2 linked regions of the Arabidopsis thaliana genome follow. The protein of the gene in region 1 interacts with the protein of each later gene in a pairwise test. Each region holds a gene or a part of one and is shown in the gene's direction. Other genes may lie near its edges.

The links. The genes of interacting proteins can lie anywhere in the genome.
Region 2: the proteins of AT1G67530 (region 1) and AT2G41060 interact in a two-hybrid assay, tested with the Arabidopsis thaliana proteins (one large-scale study listed by BioGRID).

What each region holds. Positions count from the first base shown.
Region 1 is NC_003070.9:25,305,905-25,311,841, forward strand, and holds AT1G67530 (ARM repeat superfamily protein), read left to right. Parts: upstream 1-1,712; 5' UTR 1,713-1,903; intron 1,904-1,916; exon of another isoform or gene 1,917-2,201; intron 2,202-2,252; exon of another isoform or gene 2,253-2,295; 5' UTR 2,296-2,324; coding exon 2,325-2,375; intron 2,376-2,599; coding exon 2,600-2,785; intron 2,786-2,875; coding exon 2,876-2,983; intron 2,984-3,100; coding exon 3,101-4,263; coding exon of another isoform or gene 4,264-4,336; coding exon 4,337-5,177; 3' UTR 5,178-5,404; downstream 5,405-5,937. Other genes in the region: AT1G67520 (lectin protein kinase family protein), read right to left, coding at 171-243; AT1G67540 (uncharacterized protein), read right to left, coding at 5,592-5,937. UniProt on the Arabidopsis thaliana protein: Functions as an E3 ubiquitin ligase.
Region 2 is NC_003071.7:17,125,385-17,131,069, forward strand, and holds AT2G41060 (RNA-binding (RRM/RBD/RNP motifs) family protein), read left to right. Parts: upstream 1-1,604; 5' UTR 1,605-1,753; coding exon 1,754-3,109; 3' UTR 3,110-3,122; intron 3,123-3,390; exon of another isoform or gene 3,391-3,910; 3' UTR 3,911-4,373; coding exon of another isoform or gene 4,374-4,391; 3' UTR 4,392-5,185; downstream 5,186-5,685. Other genes in the region: AT2G41050 (PQ-loop repeat family protein / transmembrane family protein), read right to left, coding at 78-238; EEL (Basic-leucine zipper (bZIP) transcription factor family protein), read left to right, coding at 4,374-4,391. UniProt on the Arabidopsis thaliana protein: Heterogeneous nuclear ribonucleoprotein (hnRNP)-like protein that acts as a component of a complex regulating the turnover of mRNAs in the nucleus. Binds with high affinity to RNA molecules that contain U-rich sequences in 3'-UTRs.

The sequences.
Region 1 (5,937 bases):
GGTTTTTTAAAGATATATCTTGTTTGTGATCAAAGTCATATCAGAAGTTCCAAGTCTACTACGCTGGGAGACAAAATTGAAGTCTTGGCCGTTGAAGTTTCTAAGCAACAGCTGTTATCACAACTAATTAGCAAGAAAGTGACCACAAAATTGAAGTTGACTCTTATTACCTAAAACAAGACACATACATAACAGAACCAGACGCCATGCTCTTGAGCAATTGTTTTTGTTTTTAACGAACATCTCACGCCTGTTGGGAGAATACAACACCCAATAAGGATTTAAAAGGGGGAGACTACTTACCTGAGAAATAAAAAGCCAATTGCTACCAAGAGAGGAGAAACAGAGTTATATCATTTCTTCATAAAAAGACAAAAAAGTATTTCATCATGGTTCATAAAACCCCAAATCTTATTGGTAAAGAAAAATAAATAATTTATAATCATTTTGTTGAAAGAAAAAAACCCAAAAAAAAAAAAGAAATAAGAAATCCAAAAGCTTCTTGTATTGATTGAACGGAAAATGTTGTTAGAGTACATAATAATAACCCTGTTTTACTTGGTAAGGAGACCATTTTATTGGTTTCAATGGTAGAAAAGAATACAAGAATCAGACTTAGCTTGTAACATATAACTGGTTAGAAATAAAGACTCAAGTAAGGTATATCATCCGTGGAATTGTTGACCTTCGAATCTTGGGTTACAAGCAAACGTAACAATCGTTGAAGCTATCGATGGAAGATAAAGACTTCCTCGAATCCATTCTCTAGCTTATTAGGTCTTCTCTACAATCCACAACAACTTGAGAAAGACGACTATGTATGAAGTACCTCGAAAGAAAGTGAAGGAATAATGAGAAATGAGAGAAAATTGGTAACTCAAGAGTGTGATAAACTGCTCATATTGTTTCTCTACTATGTGTGGGTTCCGTGGAGAAGGAGAAGAATATACGACATAGTTTTGATAAACCAATTTAAAAGTTTTAATGATTTTACTATTACAGTATTAGATGTTTTCGAAGCTAGAAGATTTTCTCTCTTTTTCTTTTTTTTTGGCAAGAATTTAGGTAACAAATATAACAACTCAAAAACAATATTTTTATATTTAAGTCTGATATAAAATAAATAAATGATAATAATTTTCAAATTATAAATTTAAAAATCTAATAAATTATAAATACAAAATGATAATTAAAAAGACGCTAAAAACTTCAATCCGCCTGGGTGGATGGGAAGAAGCAAATCTTTGAGTGAGTTTTTAATTCAAGAATAATTAAAATACTCCATTTGGTGATTTGGTGGACCGTTAGAAATTAAAAGCAAAATGCAAAAATATTCAAGTGGGATAACATAATTTAACTGACAATTTGTTCATGTTTCCACTAACTTTTCTGATGGAAAAAAACGCACTATTTGCAACTATAACGCACTAATCTCTTAAAAAAAAAGGTTAACCATAAACTCTAAACTCTTCCAAAAAAGCTTAAATACTCCTAACTAACCAAATTAATCTTTTAAACAAAAGTCAAAAAGTTACAAATTATATGAAAACTCACGTCAACCCCAGTTACAATATTGTCTCTGGAAAACTTCCTAAAACTAGTACATTAAATAAATATTTATAGAAAGAACCGTTCATTAGTTTTAAATTAGAATACTAATTAACATCACAGTAATGCCGTTCTTAACTTAATAATTTTTAAAACAGAACACACAGATTCTTAAGTACTTCCTCCTCCACTCGAATATCTTTTTATTCTCTCTCTCTCTCTCTCACATTTAACCCCAAAATCATGGATCGCCTTACCAAGAACAAAACCCTAATTCATCATCACTTGTCTGATTCTTCTCTATTGGTTTATCTTTTATGAACCTTCCTCCTTGGCCGGTCTCTCAATATCCCCGGTATGTAAATGTTTGACCTCTATCTTATCTCTTCTGTTCTGTTCTTTGTTTTGTCTTTGTTTGTCCATTTTTGGTTGTTACTGGTTCCACACGTGTTCTCCGCAGCTTTATTTTTAGTGCTCTCTTTTATTTTTAATGTAATTCGCAATTTTTTCTATTAATCGTAGAATTTCCCGGTTTTTGTGGATGTGTTTCAGTTCCGTTATTGCAATTTTTCCAGGATTTGCTGTTTGAATAAAAAATTCTGTTTTTTTTTTCTTTCTCTTTTCTGGGTTAAGATCTTTTTCTCATAGCAAAGGTAATTTCTGTGATTGTAGCATGATTCATTGTTTGTTTTAATAATTTCTCTGAATTCATGTATTGATTCCTTTGTTTCTGGGAGATTTTTGTAGTTTTAGAGTTGTTTTGGTGAGGTTTGATCATGGATGTGACCGAGCTTGAAGAGAATCTATTCGCGGCTAGCGATGCCAAGGTTCGGTTTTTAAATTGAAATGTTCGAATTCGGATTGTAATTGTTGGAATCTGATTAAATTTGCATCTCTGATTATTGCAAACAAATTTTCTATTAGAAATAGTAATTGGGTTATCTTAAAGGACATATTTTTTATTATCATTTGATTTCAATGTTGTTAGAGGGTTTCGTGTTTTTATGTTCTTGGTGTTTGATGATTTGATTGTCTTGTGCTTTTGCTACAGTTACATGGAGATATGTGCAAGGAACTATCTGGAGTTCTATGCAAGGTACTTTCAATCTTCCCGTCATTGGAAGGAGCAAGACCGCGTAGCAAATCAGGGATTCAAGCCTTATGCTCTTTACATATTGCACTTGAGAAGGCAAAAAATATTCTTCAGCACTGTTCTGAGTGTAGTAAACTTTACTTGGTCAGTTTTTTCTCTCTTTGGACAAGTTTTATGCTTTCTCGTTTCGTGTGTTTTGCTTCTTTAATGTTCTACATTTTCCAATGTGAACAGGCCATAACGGGGGATGCGGTTCTTTTAAAGTTTGAGAAAGCAAAAATTGCTCTCATTGATGGTCTTAAACGTGTAGAAGACATTGTTCCTAGCTCAATTGGGTCACAGGTAATTATTACTCAGTTCATTTCACATTGTGATGATTAAGATAAGTCCACTTGTTGATTGATAGTTATGATGTTTATAGTTGAGAAGTCTGTTTTTTTTTATGTATGATTTCTTCAGATTTTGGAAATTGTTGGTGAACTAGAGAACACCAGGTTCATGCTTGATCCATCGGAGAAGGAAGTCGGTGATCAGATTATTGCATTGCTTCAACAAGGGAAGAAATTTGACAACTGTAATGACAACACCGAGCTTGAAATTTTCCACCGTGCTGCTACTAGACTAAGTATCACTTCTTCTAGAGTGGCTCTGGCAGAACGAAGGGCTTTAAAGAAACTCATTGACAGGGCACGCGCCGAAGAAGACAAGCGTAAGGAATCAATTGTGGCTTATCTTCTGCATCTTATGAGAAAATGCTCCAAGCTATTCAGAAGTGAGATCTTGGATGAGAATGACTCTCCGGGTTCCTATCCATGTTCTCCTAATGAAGATCATGGGAGTGTTCATGGGTTTGGTCGTCAGCTATCAAGGTTTGGTTCTTTAAACGACAAGCCCATGAACAGCATAAATTCAGGACAGATGCCTGTTCCACCCGAAGAACTGAGATGTCCCATATCTTTGCAACTTATGTGTGATCCTGTCATTATTGCTTCAGGGCAGACTTATGAACGGGTCTGTATTGAGAAATGGTTCAGTGATGGGCATAATACTTGCCCAAAGACTCAACAACAGCTCCCACATATCTCTTTGACTCCCAATAACTGTGTTAAAGGTCTTATTGCGAGCTGGTGTGAACAGAATGGAACTCAAATTCCTAGTGGGCCGCCGGAATCTCAAGACCTCGACTACTGGAGACTAGCTCTCTCTGACTCCGAGTCCACCAAATCACAGTCAGTCAACAGTATAGGGTCGTATAAATTGAAGGGCGTAAAAATTGTTCCGTTGGAGGAGAATGGTACTACTGTTGTTGAACGACAAAACACAGAAGAAAGTTTTGTGTCTGATGATGATGATGAGGAGGATTCTGATATAAATGTACTTGAGAGGTATCAAGATTTATTGGCTGTCTTAAACGAAGAGGAGGGTTTGGAGAAAAAATGCAAGGTTGTAGAAAAAATCAGGCTATTGCTGAAGGATGATGAAGAGGCCAGGATCTTCATGGGAGCCAACGGGTTTGTTGAAGCCTTGTTGCGATTCTTAGGATCAGCTGTAGATGATAACAATGCTGCAGCTCAGGATAGTGGAGCTATGGCTCTGTTCAATTTAGCCGTCAACAACAACAGGTTAGTACCTCTTGTTGATGTTGGTAATACAATAATAGATTGTGACTTTCTCATTACTTTTTGTGTTCTCAAGGAACAAAGAGTTGATGTTAACTTCTGGGGTGATTCGGCTGCTGGAGAAAATGATTTCTTCTGCTGAGTCCCATGGTTCAGCAACCGCGCTTTATCTGAACCTTTCCTGTCTCGATGAAGCAAAGTCCGTGATAGGTTCAAGCCAAGCAGTACCTTTCCTTGTCCAACTTCTTCAGAAGGAAATCGAAACCCAATGCAAGCTCGATGCTCTTCACGCCCTCTACAACCTTTCCACATATTCCCCCAATATCCCTGCTCTCCTTTCATCTAACATCATCAAGAGCCTCCAAGGCCTTCTCGCATCAACAGGTGAAAATTTGTGGATAGAGAAGTCACTAGCCGTATTGCTAAATCTAGCTTCAAGCCAGGAGGGCAAAGATGAAGCGGTATCATCACAGGGCATGATCAGCAGTCTAGCAACAGTGCTAGACATGGGTGACACAACAGAGCAGGAGCAAGCTGTTTCATGCCTTTTGATTCTATGCAATGGAAGAGAGTCTTGTATCCAAATGGTGCTACAAGAAGGTGTGATACCATCATTAGTGTCAATCTCTGTAAACGGAACACCTCGAGGCAGAGAGAAGTCTCAGAAGCTTCTAATGCTGTTTAGGGAAGAAAGACAGCAACGGGACCAGCCATCTTCAAACAGAGATGAGCCACCCCAAAAGGAACCTGCCCGAAAATCTCTCTCAGCACCGCTGTCTGTCCATGGATCAACTCCTGCTTCAGCTTCAGTTCAAGACTATGAACCAAGAGTCCTGTCGAAATCAATGTCGAGAAGAAAGTCGATGGCAAGACCATTCAGCTTCTTCTGGAAGAAAAGCTACTCGGTTCGCGAGTGAGAAAGAAGAAAATATCACATGTACATACAAGTACAACCTTTTATATGTAAAGCTTTGTTTTTCTTTCTTACAAGTTACAAAAGTCATTTCATAGAGAAGAAGATATGTTGTACAGGTCTCATTGTGATTAGTACACTCGATTTTTGTTGTTCTTTTGGTTAGCCAAAAAAAGATGTATATCAATCAAGGTAAATACAAGTAAAACAAAACCCCAGTTTTAACATCGTATTCACTTATTGTCATTCTTCTGGTTTATTATGTTTCTATGATAAGTATCCAAAGTTTTAAAACAAATCTTAAACTTAGGTTACTTAGAATATGACATTTACAAAGTAATGAATACAAGAAGTACTTGAAAGAGACCAAAACATGTAAGCTATTGTGTCACCCCTCGGGTTCAAATCTCGAAAGAAATCAGGTCGAATAGGATTCAGAACGCGAGAAGGTGAGCGAATCCGCGCTTCTACTACTTCGTTTGATGGGATTCTGAATCCATCCGGTCTCAAAGAGTTCCAAGATCGGATCTCTGCGGCTACTGCTGCTTCGACCAGTGCTTCCACCGCCATCTTCTCCACTACTTCCTCTCTGTAATGCCTCCTTGTACGACACTTTCTTCTCCGTCCCCAAATTCCTCTTCTCTTCCTCCTCTTCTGAAACTGACCCTGATCTGCTAAAGCTCCTATCAACTGTGATCTCTTTCTCATTCGTCCCTTTGTTCTTATCTCTCCAACGTCCCAACACGTTCACCAACAAACCAAGC
Region 2 (5,685 bases), on another chromosome or scaffold:
ATCAAAACCAAAAGTCAGTTCACCCTAGGAACAAGTAAAAAGTAAAAGCATTTGTCTTCTTCTTATGATCATCTTACCCAATCATCCACGTTGTTAAGAAGGTAATAGAGAGACCTTCAGTGGATTTCTCACTGTAATTAGTCATAATCTGAGGTATCTCAGCAACACCCCAACTGATAACACTGATGATACCAAGAGACAATGACAATCCATCTCTAAAACTGCTGTGGAGAAACATCTTCTTCACAGCCAAAAACCTGTTAAACCCAAAAATCAAACAAGTCCCTTAATGAGCAAAGGTAACGTCTTTTTGATTGTGCAAACTAGAAAAAAGTGTTAGAAGACGAAAAGGAAAAACATTTACACTAGAATGACCACATTTGAAAGAGTAGAAAACGAATCCTAGAGAATTAAAAAAGATTTCTAATTCCGACAATAATTCAATATACTAGATTCACAAACAAAAAGACCCCACAAAGTGAATATTCCCCCAAAACCCAAATCACACCCTCAGGATTCAGATTCTTCCATTAAAAGCAACAAAATCGAAAACGTTACACAAAATCTGGTTTCGACATTCACATATCAACACCATTGTTAAAATAATCTATTCGCAGCCTGAAATATCCGGTTTCATAAAAAGCAAGAGAAATCGATTCCCTAATACATTAAGAGAAACGAATTCGTATTCGACTATTCGTTTACACATCAATGGAAGAGAAAGTTGTCACCTTTTATTATAAAAAAAAAACAGAAAAAAGTTGTCACCTTTTCCAGAAGAAAGAAACGAAACCCGTGAATGAATGAGTCGACGGGTTTATACTTGGAAGAATTATCCGGGAGATTTTAAAGGAGAGGCCTTTAAGCGTTAAAGAGGTAGCTCTGGTGACTGCTATTCGTTTGTCTCTTTGCTGTTTTATGGCGATTTATATATCATCATCATGTGTTCCTTCTGGAAAACACAAATCACCATCTGAACGAAATAAAGAGTTAAAAGAGTTTTCTACTCCAATATTCCTTCAAACTACAAATAAATATTTTATATCTTTTTTTCCGTGGTCTTATTTTTATTAGAGTTTTATTTCTTTAGCATTATTGTCGCTAAAGAGTAGTGGATTTGGTATCATCGATTTTAGTCCTATTCTGTTTGTTTTGAAATTGTTTTTCTTTATGTCACGTCGCCGGAAATTTGTTGGCCATAATTTAGTAGGATATATTGGGTGCATGTCTACCAAAATAATGAGATAAATAATAATTGATGGAATAATTAGAAATTAATTATATTTTATATCTTTTATTGGAAACTTTTCTCATTATTCTTTTTTTATTTATTTTATATTTCATTGTAAATGGTAAAATTTGTGAGGAATCTATTATTTTACCATATAATAATGAGATAAATGGATAATAATTGATGGAATAATTAGAAATAATTAATATTAGTATATCTTTTTGGGCTAAGCTAATGCAAGACTGGTCAATTGGAGATGAACCCAAAAGTCATGGTACATTCTATATGGGCCTCAAAAGTCCATGTGACATAATAATTCAAGGCCCAATAGGCGTCTTCTTGTTATATATTTTTTTTTGTTTCTCAATAAGACAAGAATTGTCTTCACGCTTCCGCGAATCGTTAAGCTTCACAATTTCAAGCGAAGAGGATCAAAAAATCAATTTTTTTGGAGAAGAACCAGAAATCACAAAACCCTAGAGGGCTCTCTTCAAATCAACCATTAAAACCGCCAATTCCGTTATGACAAAGAAGAGAAAGCTCGAATCTGAATCCAACGAAACGTCAGAGCCGACGGAGAAGCAGCAGCAGCAATGTGAAAAAGAGGATCCGGAAATCAGAAATGTTGATAATCAAAGAGACGACGACGAACAAGTAGTAGAGCAAGACACACTAAAGGAGATGCACGAAGAGGAAGCTAAAGGTGAAGATAACATAGAAGCGGAGACGTCGTCCGGATCTGGGAATCAAGGAAATGAGGATGATGACGAAGAAGAACCTATTGAGGATCTATTGGAACCGTTTTCAAAGGATCAACTTTTGATTCTTCTCAAGGAAGCTGCAGAGAGACATCGCGATGTAGCTAATCGAATCCGGATTGTGGCGGATGAAGATCTTGTTCATCGTAAGATCTTCGTTCACGGGCTTGGATGGGATACTAAAGCTGATTCACTTATCGACGCTTTTAAACAGTACGGAGAGATTGAAGATTGCAAATGTGTGGTTGATAAGGTATCTGGGCAATCTAAAGGTTATGGCTTTATCCTCTTTAAGTCAAGGTCTGGTGCTCGTAACGCTCTTAAGCAGCCTCAGAAGAAGATTGGAACTCGTATGACTGCGTGCCAGCTGGCGTCTATAGGACCTGTTCAGGGGAACCCTGTTGTGGCTCCTGCTCAGCATTTCAATCCTGAGAATGTTCAGAGGAAGATTTATGTCAGTAACGTTAGTGCAGACATTGATCCGCAGAAGTTGCTGGAGTTTTTCTCAAGGTTTGGGGAGATAGAAGAAGGTCCTTTGGGGCTTGATAAAGCTACTGGGAGACCTAAAGGTTTCGCTTTGTTTGTCTATAGATCCCTAGAAAGTGCCAAGAAGGCATTGGAGGAGCCACACAAGACTTTTGAAGGCCATGTCTTGCATTGCCACAAAGCAAATGATGGGCCAAAACAGGTTAAGCAACATCAACATAACCATAACTCTCACAATCAAAATTCCCGTTACCAAAGGAACGACAACAATGGTTATGGTGCCCCTGGAGGCCATGGACATTTCATAGCTGGTAATAACCAAGCTGTGCAGGCGTTTAATCCGGCCATTGGCCAGGCCCTCACAGCTTTGCTGGCATCTCAGGGTGCTGGGTTGGGTTTAAACCAAGCATTTGGGCAGGCTTTGTTGGGGACATTAGGGACAGCTAGCCCAGGAGCTGTAGGTGGAATGCCAAGTGGCTATGGTACTCAAGCAAATATCTCACCTGGGGTCTATCCTGGGTACGGTGCTCAAGCCGGGTACCAGGGCGGTTATCAGACTCAGCAACCTGGTCAGGGCGGTGCGGGAAGAGGGCAGCATGGTGCTGGGTATGGTGGTCCTTACATGGGTCGTTAGATTAGCCACTCAGGTAATTATTTTCAGCTTCTTTTCATCTATTTCATTGATGTTCTGTATCAGAAGACTTTTTTTGTAGTTCGCTTGGTTCCCTTGTGTATTTCAAGACATGGACTTGCTGTATTTTGACCTTTTCATGGTTACTCCATTATGTTAAACTTTTTGCGTTGCAAGATCATTTTGTTTTCAAAGTTCCTGTGACTTTGTTGTGTTTCTGAAGGGTGTTAGGTTTTGCATCAGTTTATAAAAGTCTTCTCTTAATTTCTTAATTCATTGTGCAGATATTCCAATACAGTACTTTTTAAAATTGGCCTGGTGAATCTTCTGAAGTTATTAAGGAGCTGATGCAAATGGAGTTGTTTAGTTTTTGGATGAAATGTTACTCTTTCGTGTCTTCAAAATACATGACTCTTCAAACCTTTCAAGAAGTTTTAGTTTTCCCCTACTTGTTTTCTCAACTCTTTTTATGATATCCCAAATACACTGTTCTGATTTAACAACTATCGTTTCTGTTTTAAACTTTTGGGAACGTTTTCATTTGTAAAACTTAAACAGTGTTCCTCATGGACACACAAACGCTTTCACTATGTTTGAATCCGTATTTTCCATTTTCTCTTAATCAGACTCGTTTTTATTGGTTCTCGCTATGTTTCGCGGTTTTGTGGAATTTTTCCATGCACGTAATTCCTCTTAAGATTTTGACCTTGTGAGAGTATGATCACACATCACTATGCATATGTACATAACGGCTTATCTTGATTACCACATATTATATCTGCTTAATCCTTATTCCTCTTGCAGGTAATTTAAGAGCAAGCTGAACGGTCAACACTTACGCCCAACAAAAATCTATGGGGTACCAAATATTTGAATGCCACCTATCTGCTTTTTCTTTTATATATACTGAAAAGTGAAAAGGGATGAATCTATGAATTGGTAGCTTTATAACTAAAGAACGAATTAAGCAAAAGTTGTTTTCTTGTTTAACTTAGCTAGGCATCTACCTGAATCCAAAAGAGCAACTTGTTTTGTTTTGTACTAATAAGTATCAACAAGTCTTGACCTGCACATGTCAAGTTTTTGACTTGATTTAGAGCAGCTTGTTTCTTGTGTGTCCTTGGAGTTCTCTACTGTTTCTATAGCTTTGAATGAGCTTTCCATTTGACCACATCTCAAAAAATTTGGTAATGTGCCTTAGAATAACACCGAGTTTGGTAACACAGCTGGAATTGGTGTTTTGCTGTGGCATCATGGGAGCTCTGAAATGTCTTCCCAGTTAAAGGTGAGTATAACTGTTTGCATTGTGAAGATTTGTATTAACTATAGAACATTGAATTGATGGTGTTAAGTTCTTACACAAGCGTGCTTCTCGGTTTGAACTGTTTCTTTTGTATGTTGAATCAGAGCTTAGTTTATAGGAACCAGAGTATCTACTTAGTCATTCTCTAATGCTAAGTGCTAAGGTTCTACCTAGTTGCCCTCTAGGCCCTTATGTTATTGATAACTTATGAAGCTATTTGAACACTTGATTCTTAGGAGACCTAAGTTGGTACAGCCAGATAGAGTGTATGTTCTTGTTCTCTATGTGACAGGATCAAGCTGCCACACATAGTTCAAGGGTATGCTCTGTGTGGGTTTGCTCAGATTGAGGACAAATCTATACAAGGAAGTAGAGTCTTTGACATTTTGATGTTGTATGATAAGAAGAAGAAAGGAGAGTAATAAAGAAAGAGAAAAGGGAAACAGAAACACGTGGGAGAACATCCCAAAGAGGAAGCACACGCGGATCTTCATGCAAAGCTCCCCGATTCTCCCATGTGGTCCCTTTCTCCCTTTGTCCCCCTCCTCTTTCTTCTTTTCTCATTTTACTCCTTTTTTTACCATTATACAACGAATCTTTTTTATCATAATTTTTTGGTTTTGGTTTATTTTCCAATAACACCTTCTTGGTTACTTCCCATTCTCACTTTTTCATATAAGAAACTCACTTTGGGAAACTTATGTTTGAGAATGACAAGTCTTTTTAGAGAAAGTGATGTAACAAATCTAAAGTGATTATATAATAACCTTGCACAATGTTTTTGATTTTTTGTAAGATTCGAATATTAGGTTTATTATTCGTAGGGAATAAACTTACTTTCAAAAGCGTTCATAAGTTAATACTTTCATATATGATCATAAGTACGGACACTATTGTTTTTTGTTTGTTTGTGTTTATTCTAAAAGAAAGTAGCTTTTAATTGAAATGTCCTCAGAGGCACAGTTTAAAGTTCGAGTGTAACAGTTTCTAAGGCAAAATAAGCTCTCTTTCTACTATTTCTCTTTCTCTTTCTACTATTTCTCTCCTGTGGAGAAACTCAGGAGATAGAGAGAGAGAGAGAGAAGAGAAGAGAGCATGTATGTTTGGTTTTATAATCTCTCTACTCATACCAAAGATTTGTCTCAGACCCACCACTTGGACAGAGAGAACCCAAGCTCCTTTCTCTCTTTTTCTCGATCTACTCCTTCTTAATCTCCTTTTTTGAAACTTGAAGCCACTTTCAACATCATCCTTAAACTTTTGTTCCCTTATTCAC